Linked DNA regions of Elephas maximus indicus. The protein of the gene in region 2 interacts with the protein of the main gene of each other region in a pairwise test. Links are inferred from orthologs where the notes say so. Each region holds a gene or a part of one and is shown on either strand. Other genes may lie near its edges.

Region 1 (7,100 bases), on a different chromosome or scaffold from region 2:
GAGTGTGTGTCGGGGGGGACCCACAACACAGTTGGCCTCTTTGGCTGAGAGAGAGGTCTAGTAGTGGTGGTGGGGAGGAGTCCGAAGAGGGGCGGAATGCAAAGCAATACGGAATGAAGGTCCCTGGAGGAAGACAGTGGAGAACAGCTGGGAAGGAGAGGAGAGCCTCTGAAGAAAAGGGAATGGCCCGTGGGTATATAAAGGCCGGCAGGGACAGATGTGTCCAGATGGAGAAGATCACGGTGTGCAACTGAGAGTTCTGGTGGAGGAAAAGGCAGACACTTACTGTCGGTCCGGCTGGTCTTGTTGAAGACATTTTTCTCAAAGACCATCTGCTCCTTCGTGGAGGGGAATGTGTCGTCATAATACTATGAGAAGGGGAAGGAGAAGGGGTGATACCTGTCCCACAGAGCCTGGCTCCTCCCAGGCTGTGTGGCAGGAGATGGTGGGTGCTGGCCAAGGGAGACCCCGCCATGATGGCCTGCCTCCCCTTTATTGCCCTCCAGGCCTGCCTGCTCACTAAACCAAACCCATTGCCATCCAGTCAATTCCGACTTACAGAGACACTATATGACAGGGTAGAACTGCCCCATAGGGTTTCCGAGACTGTTATCTTTATGGAAGCAGACTGTCACATCTTTTCCTCGTGAAGCAGCTGGTGAGTTATTTCCCCATAAACACAAATTCTAAGCAAAGAATGTCATAAAATGTAGAGGAGATTTGAGGTCTGATTTTGGAGTTCCCTCTTGGTTTCCTAGAGGTTCTCGTACCCTCGGTGGATGCACCGTGTGTTCAGGATCAGGGTCGTCACCAGCCACTCTATTTCTACACTGACCTGAGCTTACGGGAAAGATGGCAGTGCCAGGAGTCCTTACAGCAGTAACCATAACAACGGCTACCAATTACAGAAAACTTACCACCCCATTAAATAGCTGAGGTAAAGTAGGGTATGAAGAAGCCAGGTAGCTTCCTTAACATCTCACAGCCTGAACGGGGCAGAGCTGGGATTCAACACCAAGGAGAGTCTGACTCCAGACAGGATTATGGTGAGTATCAAATAGCTAGAGACAAGTTCCCAGCACATATTGCAGAATTTAAGTCATTCTTTTTTCTCTTGAGTTTAGTGAGCCTCTCTCTGACTCAGTTTCTCAAGTTGTAAAATGGATGAGCCCTGCGAGGAGAGGCTTTGCCCCTGATCCACCTCAGACCATCTGCTGGGGTGAGGTGTGATCACCTCTCAATTTTGTGAGTGTGGATGTTACCTTTTAGTACCTGATCTGTTGGCAAATTAGCGATCTCCCTGGTGGCCCCTGCTGTGGGGGAACAAGCTCTTTAGGATGTTGTGAGAACAAAAAAAAAGAATTTGGAAGACATCTTCAGCCCCAAACAAAAAAAAGGACAAAAATCTATACTTCATTTCATAGCTAGTTTAGATGCTATAGCCCTGCTGATACAGCTCATTTTGTCAACTATGGAAATTTATTTTTGGATTTTCCTAGTTTGGTTAACTCAGGCCATGTTCACTATGATGGATATTAGATCATTGAATGGCGGTGTAGTGAAAACCACCCTGAGCTACAAGTTAAAAAACTTGAGTTCATGTCTCCTGATATTTACAGCTTGTGACCTCAGGCAACTCATTCAGCTTCCCTAGGCCTTATTTTTTTCACCTGTGAAATTAGAGCGTTGGATTATAAGGTCTCTAAAATCTAGTTCTAAATTCTTAGGCTCCTGCAACTGTGTTTATGAAGCTGTAGGAGAAAAGTAGAAGTGGCTTCTTCAGAATTTGGGGACCAGGACTTCTGGGTCCCAGGCTCTACTCCATTGACCCCTTAGGGGGTCCCTTCCCACACCCAGGGTCCAGCTGGCCAGTGAGAGGGATAACAAAAAGACATTTCAAGGAACAAGAGTAGAAAAAGAGGAGACCCTCTGTCCTGCTTCAGGGCCAACAGCCTGACAGGCAGAGGGATGGCCAGGATGACCTCTGGAGAGATCTAAGCTGAGTTGTTCCACATTACAGACCACAGTGAGTCTCTTCTGAGAGGGGAGAGTCAGCTGGGTGGGGACCTCTGCTCCTGGGGCTGCACCATTGTGTGGCTTCAGGCCCCTCTAGTGTCCACTATGTGGATTAGGGTGGGGGGTTACCTTGGCCAGCAGCCGGCGCCCATCATTATCCAGGATGAAAACAGCCTTGATGGTGTAGAGGGAAGGTTCCTGCAACTGACACAGGGGAGGAGAGCTCCTTTGGCCCTTGAAGCAACAGCTCTCAAGGTGGACGCCCTGCCATTGCCTCTCTGGGATCTGTTAGCTCCAGGGGTAAGCCTTCAGGCTTCAGCGACCCCTGCTCCAAAAGTCCACAGTGGGTCAGGCCCAGCCCCACTGCCACCCGGGCCAACTCCGTTGCCTTCTCTACTTCCAGGCAGATGTTCCGCTGCAGGCCCTGGGTGGGCACTGTCGAGTGCAGAAGGTCCCTCGGGCCCAAGTTCTGTCATGCACTGACTGCTCCAGAGCCCGAGTCAGAGTGTATCACAGAACCTGGGCCGGGGGGACAGCGGCGTGAGCCTCCTCCTTCCAGCTGACCCCCGGCCGAGGCTGGACCCATGCTCTCAGCGCGCCCCCAGCACCCTGGCCGGGGTGGGCCCCAGAAGCACGCACGGCAGCCTACGAACACACCACCCTTACCCCTCCGAGCGGAATCTCAATCCACCCCGCGTCTACCCTCCCTATCACTGTCCCAAATTGATCCAGAACTTCAGCCGACTCAGGAGTCTGCACCCGGAGGAACTTTTTGTCCCCTGCTCTGAGCCCGGGCCCTCTCCCTGGGGCTGGTCAGGGGTGGCACAAAGTTCCCAGCCGCCGCCGCGCGAGTTGTGGGTTGGCTATCCCTCACCCCCCGCACCCCTCTCCACCGCCAGGGGACCCCGGGCCCCCGGGCCCCCGCCCGTCCTCCCGCTCCGTACCCGAGGCCCCGCGGGCTCCCCGGCTCGAGTGGGCGTTGCCGGGACCCCTGCCTGGGCCGCCGCGGCCCCCTCCCCCGGGTGCGGACGTGGCCAGGCCTCGGGCCGCTGCATTCCGCTCGCCGCCTCGCGCTGACAGCGCCGCCCGCCCTGCGCCGCCCCCGGAGGCCACCGCCCACTTCCAGCCGGCAGCGCAGGCCTCGCGGCCCCCGTCTTCCCATCTCCAGTTCTTGTCTTTTCTTTCCCCCACGGCCCTTGCCCTCTTCTAGTCTTCCTACCGCCCCCGCCAGCCCTCTCCGCCACGCGCCCCACACCCCCAGCTCCTTCCTTCACTTCTCATTCCCCTCTCCCCTCCTCGCCTCCTTTCCAGTCCTTAAAGCCCAGAGCTCTCATATCCTCTTTGCCCCAGGACCGGCCCTTCTTCCCGTCTCCTGCCTCCTCTCCGCCGCCTGTGGGTGTGGTGTACGCGGGCGTCCGCAGGCTGTCCTGGGGTCAGCAGAAGACACAGGCAATCCCCAGTTTTGTCTCTTGACTCCTCTTAGGGTACCATCGGACAAATCTGTCAGGGCATTCTTTGGATATTAGGGGCAGGTACTTCAGTGAGAGCAGACAAGGACACCTCTGAGCAGTCCTCTGTGCAGAAGAGGCTTTCACAGCACTTGGGGAAGGGAGCCATGGCCCCTGGGACACTTCCTGAGACGCCTCCCAAGACATGGCCCAAAGTGAACCAAGACAGATGCCTAGTAGCATAAATACTCCACTAATGACATCAGGCTTTGCCACCGGTTTTGGTTTCTTTGGTGGACGAGATTCCACCCCAGGATACCCCAGCCAGTGGGAAATTCACACTTCCTCATGCATTTACCCTTAACATCAGGTGAGTATTTTACATTTAAACCAGGGCTACAAACTGGTTCCATTGGTTTGAACCCCTGCTGAGAATTTGCATTTCTAAGAATTTCCCTGGTGAGAATTTGCATTACCGCCCCAGATATACTGAATCAGAACCTAAAGTTTAACAAGATCTACAGGTGATTCTTACGTATAACATCCTGGGAAATTGTTAGAAATGCAAATTCTCAGCAAGGGTTTGAACTAGAGTACAGGTTAGAAGCCCTATTTAAACATTTTCACATACATTATCTAACATCACTTACACCTGTGAGATATTAACCCATCCCATTGCTGTCGAGTTGATTTTGACTCACAGCCCCCCCATAGGACAGAGTAGGACAGCCCCATAGTATTTCCAAGGAGCAGCTGGTGTTTTGGAACTACCCACCTTTGGGTTTAGCAGCCGTAGTTCTTACCCACTGTGCCACCAGAGCTCCTGTGAGGTATTAGGTAGGTATTGCTCCCACTTTAGAGATAAGGAAGGGGACATTTTCAAGATGTTTGGGTGCCCTCGAGTTGATTCCTACTCATAGTGACCCATGTGACAAACTGGAACTGCCCCATAGGGTTTTCTTGTCTGTAATCCTTACGGAAGCAGATCACCAGGTCTTTCTCCCCCAGAGCATCTGGGTAGGCTCCAACCATCAACCTTTTGGTTAGCAGCTGAGCCCTTACCCGTTTGTGCCACCAGGGCTCCTTTTCAAGATGGTATAACTAATAGTTGAGTGGGGATGGAACCCAGGCTTTGGACTCAGTTTCTTCTCTGTTCTTCTCTTCAGGGCCTCTTATGTTGTGTACCACACTCACTCATCAAAGATGACTGGGTAACAGGATTTTCCTCTTCTGAGTAGCAACAAGCCTTATTAATCTTCAAGTCTCTTAAATGTCATCACTCAAAGGTCCTCTCTGACCATATCTAACATGATAGGATAATAGGTCTCTCCTGTCACATTCTCCATCTCAGTATTCTACTTCTTTCATCATACTTTTCTCAATCTCTAAATGTCATTTTTACTAATTTGCTTATACAAATGTGTATAGTCCTTCTCCCCATTGGGCTTTGAGCCCCACAAGAATGGGGGACAATGCGTCTGTCTTGTTCCCTATCAGATCCCTGGTGCCTTGCACAGGGCCTGGCACATGACAAGGACTAAACTGGTATTTGCTGAGTAAATGATTAAATAAGTGACTTCACAACGAAGAAGATAATGTATAAATATTTTAAACAAACAATAAAAATGTACTTACTTTGGAAATAGTGGTAATGGCTGTACAACATTGTGAATGCAATTAATGGCATTGAATTGCATACTTAACGTTAAAAGGGAAAATTTTATGTTATATATATTTTACTACAATAAAAAAATTTAAACGTACTTGTCAATGAAACCATACTTCATATGTTGAACAAATATCTATTGAGTGCTTATCCTGTACCAGGTACTTTTCTAGTCACTGGGATACAACAGTAAACAAAATAAGCATCTTTGCTTATGTTGAAGTGTTTATTCAAGTGTGTGTGTGTGTGTCTGAACAAAGATCTGAAGGTAGAGTGGGAGAGAGCCATGTGGACATCTGAGAAAACATCCACTGAACCTCTTTCTATGATGATTTACAAGGCACATTCCAGTCCTCCTTACAGGCTATCCAAGTTATAACAGTGAACATTAATCAACACTATTTGTTACAATAAGGGAAAAAAAGTCCCAATATTTGGGCTTTTTATTTGTTTGGATTCTAGATCATCAGAAGTTACTGTCAATGGTCCTGTCAACTGGGTAAGTTATAAAAAAAATACTGCCTTGATTATTTTGACACCTTAATATTTCTGTGAGCTAGTCAGTTTTTAGTTTGTATTTACAAGGACAGCACCAGAAAGCCTCCAGGGGCATTTCCCAACCTCTGTTTGGCATCTGGTATCCACTACAGAAGAGGGTCAGCCTGCAGAAGAGGGGAAGGAGAAGCGGGAAGGTAGGGGAACTTAGGGAGCTGGTGTGGCTCCATGGGGAGAGGTGGGTGAGTCACAGAGTGGATGAGAGGAGGCCCAAGAAAGAAGCTTATGAACGACAACATCCTCCTCACCACTCCCTCCACGACTGTTGCTGCTGGTGTTATCATCACCAGAACTCTTCACATCCTAAGTGCCCTCAGCTTCAGCTTTGCAAAGAAGAGATTTTCCCAATGATGGCCCTTCCCCAGACTCTCCCCAAAGAAACCTCAGGGCCCCACTCTTTCCTCTTTCCTCGCACCCACCCCCCCGCCCCGCCGCCACCAGCGTGAGGTGCACCTTGAATGGTGTTCTATGTAGACACTAAGTGTGCACTGGGTCAGGACAGTATTTTCCACACAGTATGGCCCCAGAGGACTTGAGAAGTGTACAGCACAGCAGAAGAGAATCCACTGGACAGCCTAACGGGAATGAGGATGAGGTGGGTCCGAAAGGAATGCAGCCTTGTTTCCCTGCTCTCTGTGCTCCCTTCAGGGTGCGGTGGGGTGGGGAAGGGAGCTTGTGGAATAGCTGGACTCCCTTTTGGTCCTAAAAATACACACATCCCTGCCCTTTGGAGTCTCCAGGAAGTGAGCGATTTGAATGGGGTTCGGCTTCAGGCCTTGGTAGATCTTAGAGGTGAGACCAGCTGTTGCCTCTGACTCACCCTCCTGCAGCCGCATTTCTGTGCTGTCTGTCCTAGGATTTCAGCATCTGCTCTTGTGTGACAAGAAGAAACAGCTCCCTTGGGTAACAGCCTCTCTCCATCCTTCCTGCTATAATGTCAAGAGGGGGAGGTGTATATGTGGAATATGAGGCAGAAATGTGTGTGCTTATGGCGTCCTTCAGGGAGAGAATGAAAGCTCCCATGCCTGTCTGCAGCATGGGCTTCCAGCAGAACATCCTAAGGACGGCTCTTATTTCTTCAACACATTTGGCTTTCTCTGGGACGAGGTGGTGGGGTAGGTGAACAGAGAGTTGGGAGAGAAAGGGGCCTGACACAGCCCTACCCAAGTGCAAGTGGCTTTATACATATGATCTGATTTTAAACCTTTGTGAATACGTGTATTATTCACTCTCCTGAGCCCAGAATAGCCCAACTAGAAAGTGGCAGGGCCAGGTGTTTGAACCCAGCTCTGAGTTGATAGCCCCCACTCTTTTTACCTCACAATAGCACCTCCCTGAGTGTGACATGCCACACTGAGAAGTATACGAAGAAAATCACCCAACGTTGTTTGGGACACAGGCCACTAATGTGGTGA
Region 2 (7,609 bases):
TTTCCACAACAGCCGTACCATTTTGCATTCCCAGCAGCAACGCATAAGCGTTCGAATTTCCCCACATCCTCGCCAACATTTATTATTTTCTGATGGCTAATGACATTTTTTTTTTTTTTAATGACATAGATCATCTACTCATGCGCTTGGTGGCCATTTGAATTTCCTTTTTGGTGAAATGTCTATTCAAGTCCTTTGCCCATTCTATGATTGGGCTGTCTTTTGGTTGTTAAATTGTCGAAGCTTTATATATTTTTTGGCTATTAGATTCTTATTGGATATATAGTTTCTGAAGATATTCTCCCAGTCAGTAGCTGGTCTTTTCACTTTTTTGGTAAAGTCTTTTGATGAAAAGAAGTTTTTAATTTTTAGTGGTCCCCTTTATTTTGTCTTTTGCTGTCTGTGCTTTGTTATTTTATTATATTGCCCCTGCATTTTCTTCTAAGAATTTTGCAGTTCTGGTTTGCACATTTAGGTCCTTAACCCATTTTGAATTTGTTTTTGTATATTTTGTATATGGTGTGAGGCATAGATCCTGTTTCATTTTACTGCATGTGCTAATCCAATTTTCCAAACACCATTTATGGAAGAGATTCTTCTTTCCCCACTGAATGAACTTAAAACTGTTGTCAAAATCAGTTGAGCATAGACGTGTGGGTTTGTTTCTAGACTTTCAATTCTATTCCATTGGTCTGTGTGCCTATTTTTATACTAGTACCAGGCTGTTTTGATTAATGTCGCTGTATAATATGTTTTAAAATTGAGAAGTGTGAGTTCTCCTACTTTGTTCTTCTCTTTCAACATTGCTTTAGCTTTTTGGGGCTTCTTGACATTTTATATAAAGTTGAGAATTTGTTTTTCCATTTCCATAGAGAAAGCTGTTGGAATTTTTATTGTGATCAAGTCGAATCCATAGACTGCGTTGGGTAGTACTGACATCTTAACTAATGTTCCCATCCATGAACATGGAACATCTTTCCATTAATTTAAGTCTTCTTTAATCTCTTTCAGCAGCGTTTTATAGTTCTCATTGTATAAATTTTTCACATCCCTGGTTCCTAGGTATGTTATTCTCTTGGATGCTGTGGTAAATGGAATCATTTTCCTGACTTCCCCTTCAGATTTCTCATTGTTGATGCATAGAACCCCAACTGATTTTTGTTAGTCGACTTTATACTCTGAACTACCGTACGACCCAGCAATTCCACTTTGCTAAATCCTTTTTTTTTAATTGCTGTAAACGTATATATGACACATTTGCCAATTCAATATTTTTCACATGTACAATTCAGTGATATGAATTATATTAATCATGTTGTACAACTATAGCCAACGTGGCATTTCTTTTTGGGGTAATAAAAATGTTTTGGAATTAGATGGAGATGATGGTGGCACTTTTTTTTTTTTTTTACTATACTAAAAGCCACTGAGTTGTACACTTTAGAGGGTTGAATTTTATGATATATGAATTGTATTTAAAAAAAAAAACTCAAAACTATAGAATAATGTCATGGATTGAACTGTGTCCCCCAAAAATGTGTCAACTTGGGTAGGCCATGATTCCCAATATTGCATGATTGTCCACCATTTTGTCATCTGATGTGATTTTCCTACATGTTGTAAATCCTATCTCTATGACGTTAATGAAGCAGGATTAGAGGCAGTTATGTTAATAAGGCAGTACTCAATTTACAGGAAGAGGTTGTTTCTTAAATCAATCTCTTTTGAGATATAAAAGGGAGAAGTAAGCAGAGAGACAGGGGACCTCATACCACTAAGACAGCAGCACCAGAAGCAGTGCACATTCTTTGGACCCAGGATCCCTGCGCTGAGAATCTCCTTGACTAGGGGAAGATTGATGACAAGGACCTTCCCCCAGGACCAACAGAGAAAGAAAGACTTCCCCTTAGGCTGGCACCCTGAATTCAGACTTCTAGCCTCCTAAACTGTAAGAGAATAAATTTCTCTTTGTTAAAGCCATCCACTTGCAGTGTTTCTGTTATTGCAGCACTAGATAACTAAAAACAAATAATATCATAACCAGGATACTGACATTGATACAACTCACCAATCTTACTCAGATTTCCCCAGTATTACTTCTACTTTCAATTCTAATACTCTATGTTTCCGCAAAGGACTTAGCAATTACCTTGAACAACATATATATATTTTATTTAAAAATAATAATTATATCAAATATAAGCTCACACATAGAGCTGGAGCCACAACCCACAATTCTCATTATCAAAAGAGTATTGTAAAAATTGTCCTTTGTATAAAGTTTTATAGAATTAATATCATAACATAAAAGCCTATTTTGTCCCAACACAATTCATCTGTATTTCACCATCTTAACAATTCAATTCTCTAGGGTTCTTTCTGGTTTCTAACCATGAAGGATTTTTATTTCACCTTAATTATGAACACTTTTACACTCTATCCTTTTTTGATACCTTGATTATTATGAGAAGTTTGCATGTGGTCTCCCAAGTTGCAAGAAACATCCCTTTGAGAGGATGTACCACAATGTTCTTTGTTGTTGTTGTTGTTAGGTGCCATCAAGTCGGTTTCAACTCATAGTGACCCTATGCACAACAGAACGAAACACTGCCTGGTCCTGCGCCATCCTTACAATCATTGTTATGCTTGAGCTCATTGCTGCAGCCACTGTGTCAATCCACCTCGTTGAGGGTCTTCCTCTTTTCCACTGAACCTGTACTCTGCCAAGCATGATGTCCTTCTCCAGGGACTGATCCCTCCTGACAACATGTCCAAAGTATGTAAGACACAGTCTCGCCATCCTTGCTTCTAAGGAGCATTCTGGCCGCACTTCTTCCAAGACAGATTTGTTCTTTCCTTTGGCAGTCCATGGTATATTCAATATTCTTCGCTAACACCACAATTCAAAGGCGTTCAACTCTTCTTTGGTCTTCCTTATTCATTGCCCAGCTTTCACATGCATATGATGTGATTGAAAATACTATGGCTTGGGTCCAGTGCACCTTAGTCTCCAGGGTGACATCTTTGCTCTTCAACACTTTGAAGAGGTCCTTTGCAGCAGATTTACCCAATGTTCTTTACCATCCCCTTATTGGTGGGCATTTAGGGTGTTTCTAATTATCTTGCTACAGATTGCTGCAGTGGGAAACTTTGTTTTCTTCTTTTGGATGGCTTCCTCAGGATAATGATTGGAGCTACTACTGGTTAAAGGTTTTTAATGTCTTTCTGGGTCTTGACAATTTCACTCTGGCTCACGACTGGCTCGTCCTCTCCCCAGCTCCCTCTTTCCCACAGGCTTAACCTCTGAACTGCCTAAGCTAAAAGACTGGCCCCTTCCCGGACACCCCTACCCCAGCCGTGCTGTCACCTCCACCTTCACTTGCAGGTCTCTGCCCCTGCACCCTGCCGCTCCTTCCAACCCCCGACTCACCAGCAGGGCTCCTTCACCTCCCTGCCAGACTGCGGGCTTCCCTCTCCCCAGGCCAGGTGATGACCTGCGTCCCAGCGCTTAACCATCCAGACTCGGTTTTGCCGCAGCGAATGCAATTGGCATGTTGGGACGCACCGTCCTTACCTTAGCCACACAGTGTCCGGTGTAGGTCCCCTATCAGGAAGATAAACCCCCCCCAAAGATAAACCCTAGTGATGTCTTTTTCCCTTCCTCTCCCGCCCCCAGCGCCAGGCGGCGCATTTAGTAAGTATTAAATAAAAGAGCAACATTGAAATTCCACACTGACCTTTTAGTTCCTTGTAAGTTAATAAAATAAAAAACAATTTGCACCAGGAGCAGATAAGATGAGAGTGGGCACATATGAATTATAACAGCAATTAAATGCATTAACTCGTTCTACAAGAATTTATTGTTCACATACTATTGCCAACATCATCCTCCGCAGTGAATAAGACAAGGAAAACAATAAAAACATTGTGTGCTAGATGGTGATTCGAGTCAAGGAGAAAATCAAGCAGGAAAGGGAGACGGAAAGTAAGGAGTGGTTAGCGAAGCTTACCGAAAAGGTGACAGTTATAATATTAATCCATAAAACTCATTGCCGTTGAGTCGATTCCGACTCACTGCGAGTCTATACAGTAGAATTGCCCCGCTGACTTTTCAAGGCTGAAATCTTTGCGGAACCGGACTGTCCCATCTTTCTCCCACAGCGGCTCGCGGGTTCAAAACCCCAAGCTTTCGGTTAACAGCCCAGAGTTTAACCACTGCTCCACCAGGGCTCCTTAATAACAGGTTACTTTAATTGGGTGGGACGGCAGGCGAGCGTGCTACGGACCTCACAGCCGAAAGCCTGTTTTAAACTCACTTCACACGCAATGAGGCAGGGGCTGCTACAACTCCCAGTGTACACAGCAGGAGGGCGTAAGGCGCCGAGCTAGGTCGCCAGCCGTCCCGAGCGTGAGAGGCTTCAGCCCCCCAGGTCTGCGGCCCTCTGACCTCTTCGGCAAGTACAGGGTTAACGCAAAAAAAAGGGACAGCGGCGGCTCAGGCGTGCGCATGCGCAGAGTGCGGAATGCGCCTGCGCAGAGCCTCGAGCGACGTGGCCTGGTCGGAGCCCGGAAGTGGCCGAAGTGGAACCTCCGCCGGGCAGCTACTCCGAACCGCACCTGCCGAGCCCAGTGCTGCATCGCGCCCTCGCCGGCCCTGCCATGCTGAAGAAATTCGACAAGAAGGACGAGGAGTCGGGTGAGGGGACCCAGCAGGCCTGGGCCTGGGGGAGGCCGAACCCCCGCGCAAGCTTTCGGGACTCTGCGCTGACTGGGAGGCCGAGGCTCGGGGAGGGGCCGGGGCTTGTGCGAAGATCCGCAGCTGGTCAGTGGCAGGCCTCGGAAAGCCAGAGCATCCTCCGCGGCCCGCCACTCGTAAGCTCGGACTGTGACCCGCCAGGTGACCTTGGGCGAATCACACTCCTCCCTGGGCCTCAGTTTCCCCATCTGCCAGAGGAAAGGCTGGGCCGAATGCTCCTCTTTCTTCGCCTGGCCTTTCGGGATTCGCCGGGACCGCGCTGGTTCTGTCCAAGCTGGAGTGTAATCTGTGGAGCCTCTGTCTTGTGGCTGAGAACCCTGACTCATTCATTCATTCATTCAGCAGACACGTATTGAGTACTTTATGTCAGGCTTTGTGCTGTGTCCTGATACAGCAGTAGAACAAAGCAGACACTCGGTTCTTGAGCTGGAAATGTTACAATGGAATGAACAAGATGGTCACAAGCGTAGTGGAGGAGACAGACATCAACCAGAGAGTCACAAACGTGATTATTACAAATGTGACCTCTGTTATGAAGGAAACTTAGTCAGGAGGAAATCGTGGTCCCTGGTCCATAGTAGGGACTCAGTAAAGTAAGGGTTGTATGAATGAATACAAGCCATGCCACCATGAGAAACAGAAGGAGGAGCGTACCAGGGCTGCTGGGTGACTGTAAGTGGTTTGGGTTAGGTTGGAGGCCCCTTGCAGGAGAGTGGTAGGATCTATAGGCAGACTGTAGAGCCTTGATTGCCGTTCCTGAGGAGTTTGAACTTTGTTGGGTAGACAATAGGGACATCTTTCCCTTCTCTGTGTTTGATAGCTTTGAAATTCAGGATGGTACTCAGTGTTTTCTATTCTCTTTAACTGTAGGTGGAGGCTCCAACCCATTCCAACACCTTGAGAAGAGTGCAGTACTCCAGGAGGCAAGTGTCATTTGTTCCACTCTGTCTTCCATCATAAATGTTCATGGTGGATATGATGGAAAAAGCAACACATTCAGTCCTGATTAGAGAAGTGTAGGAGAGAAAACCTGTGCCTGGAAAGACAGAGAAACTTTTCTTCTTGGAGAGATGATGCCTACATTTTTGTTGTTAGTCATTTCACCTTCCATTTAATAAGCATTTCCTAAGTATTTGTTGGTTATAGGTCCACACATCACTAATATTTAAAAAAAGGTTGTTAATAGATGAGTTAAGAAAAATAAAACTTCTTATGGAAATAAGCCTGTTTAGGCAAGTGTATTTATTTACCCTGGGACTTCTCAGAACCTTGAATGTGCTTGAAGGTAGTCAGTGGAAAGGAAACAAACAGGGCTAGAAGGTAATAGCCTTTGTTGCTTTTTCTTAGGCCCGTGTATTTAACGAAACTCCCATCAACCCTCGGAAATGTGCCCACATCCTCACCAAGATTCTCTATCTCATAAACCAGGTAATAGGGTGAGGTTTGAGGGTGGGGAAACTGGTGTTGAGGAGAGTACACAAGTTATCATCACTTTAAGTGATTTGACAGCCTTCGTGTGGTTGCAGCCACTGGCTCAGTTCTGGGTCGCCTGAGCACCCAGTGTGTTAGCCTTTAATGGAATTTTTGCAGGGTCCGAGGATCTGGCCTGGGCTGATCCAACAGGAAGAGCCATCTGTCCCCTCTGTCCCAGGCTGAGGCTTCTTTCTTGATTACCACAGGGGGAGCATCTGGGGACCACCGAAGCAACCGAGGCCTTCTTTGCCATGACCAAGCTCTTTCAGTCCAATGATGTAAGTACTCCGACCCCAGCTTTCCTTAAGGGGCCAGTTTGTGACATAGTCGTAGGAGACCCCCAGAAAACTGGCCCCACCAGTCAGCATGGGATGCCTTTGTGCAGACTGGAGTTTTCTTTTCCTAACTCTGGCCCTCATACTAAGCCAGAAGTGATATACGGCTTTTTCCATCTCTTTTGCAGCCCACACTCCGTCGGATGTGCTACCTGACTATCAAGGAAATGTCTTGCATAGCAGAGGATGTCATCATTGTCACCAGCAGGCAAGTCTTTGGGGGCAGTGGATGGCTTCCCTGATGGATTCATTGACACAGAGGCCATTTTTTCTCTTGTGTGTACCATGCTTTTGATGCGTATTAGACTTTTGTTTGGCATAGCTGCCTGGTGCCCTTTCCTCTTCTGTCTCCTTCATCCTTCAGGTACTGCTGCCAACCCTCAGGGAGTACTGTGCCCTTTTAATTCTCCAGCCTTAACTTGGGTACAACCCCTTCCTTCCCTTAGTTCCTCATGGTCAACTGAACCAGCCTGGAACTTTCACAAAGACATTAACGGATGCTAAAAGAGAACACTAGGAAAATAGATGTAGAGAATGCAAGTGGTATACAAACAGGCTTGCTTACTAAGTACTGAATTCTGCATTAGGCTGAGTGATTCAGGGGACAGATGTGACTAAAGTGTACCTTGCCTGTAAAAACTGGGACGTAGTCCTCTTCTTCTTGCCCCAGCTTTTTTTTGGGGTGGGGGGGCAGGGGGTGGGGTATACATTCATTTATATGTTCATGTAGAAAATATTTATTGCATGCCTGCCAATCCCTGAGTGTATCTCTGGGGATATAGCAGTCTCTGCACCTCCAGAACTGGCAGAGAAACCCCCAGGCACTCAGGCATTGAGGTCGGGTGTCCTCGCTTAATCATGGGAAGTGTGACCAGGGGGCCCCCAACTTGAGTTTGAATCAGGAAAGCCTTCTCAGAAGAACTGTCCAAGCAGAGTCCTAAGGGATGAGTAAGAACTAGCAGGATGAAGTGGAGGTGAGGGGTGAAGGATGCTCCAGGCTGAGGAAACAGCACCTGTAAGAGCCTGGAGGGAGAGCAGGGTCTAT

Evidence for each region.
Region 1: the proteins of COPG1 (region 2) and COPZ2 interact in a two-hybrid assay, tested with the Homo sapiens proteins (2 studies listed by BioGRID). The link is inferred for Elephas maximus indicus from reciprocal best matches to the Homo sapiens genes COPG1 and COPZ2.

The regions. Positions count from the first base shown.
Region 1 is NC_064837.1:45,456,923-45,464,022, reverse strand, and holds the start of COPZ2 (coatomer subunit zeta-2), read right to left. Parts: upstream 3,095-7,100; 5' UTR 3,072-3,094; coding exon 2,961-3,071; intron 2,221-2,960; coding exon 2,146-2,220; intron 369-2,145; coding exon 287-368; intron 1-286. UniProt on the Homo sapiens protein: The coatomer is a cytosolic protein complex that binds to dilysine motifs and reversibly associates with Golgi non-clathrin-coated vesicles, which further mediate biosynthetic protein transport from the ER, via the Golgi up to the trans Golgi network.
Region 2 is NC_064838.1:41,579,519-41,587,127, forward strand, and holds the start of COPG1 (coatomer subunit gamma-1), read left to right. Parts: upstream 1-4,545; 5' UTR 4,546-4,659; coding exon 4,660-4,696; intron 4,697-5,626; coding exon 5,627-5,679; intron 5,680-6,103; coding exon 6,104-6,184; intron 6,185-6,435; coding exon 6,436-6,507; intron 6,508-6,692; coding exon 6,693-6,772; intron 6,773-7,609. UniProt on the Homo sapiens protein: The coatomer is a cytosolic protein complex that binds to dilysine motifs and reversibly associates with Golgi non-clathrin-coated vesicles, which further mediate biosynthetic protein transport from the ER, via the Golgi up to the trans Golgi network.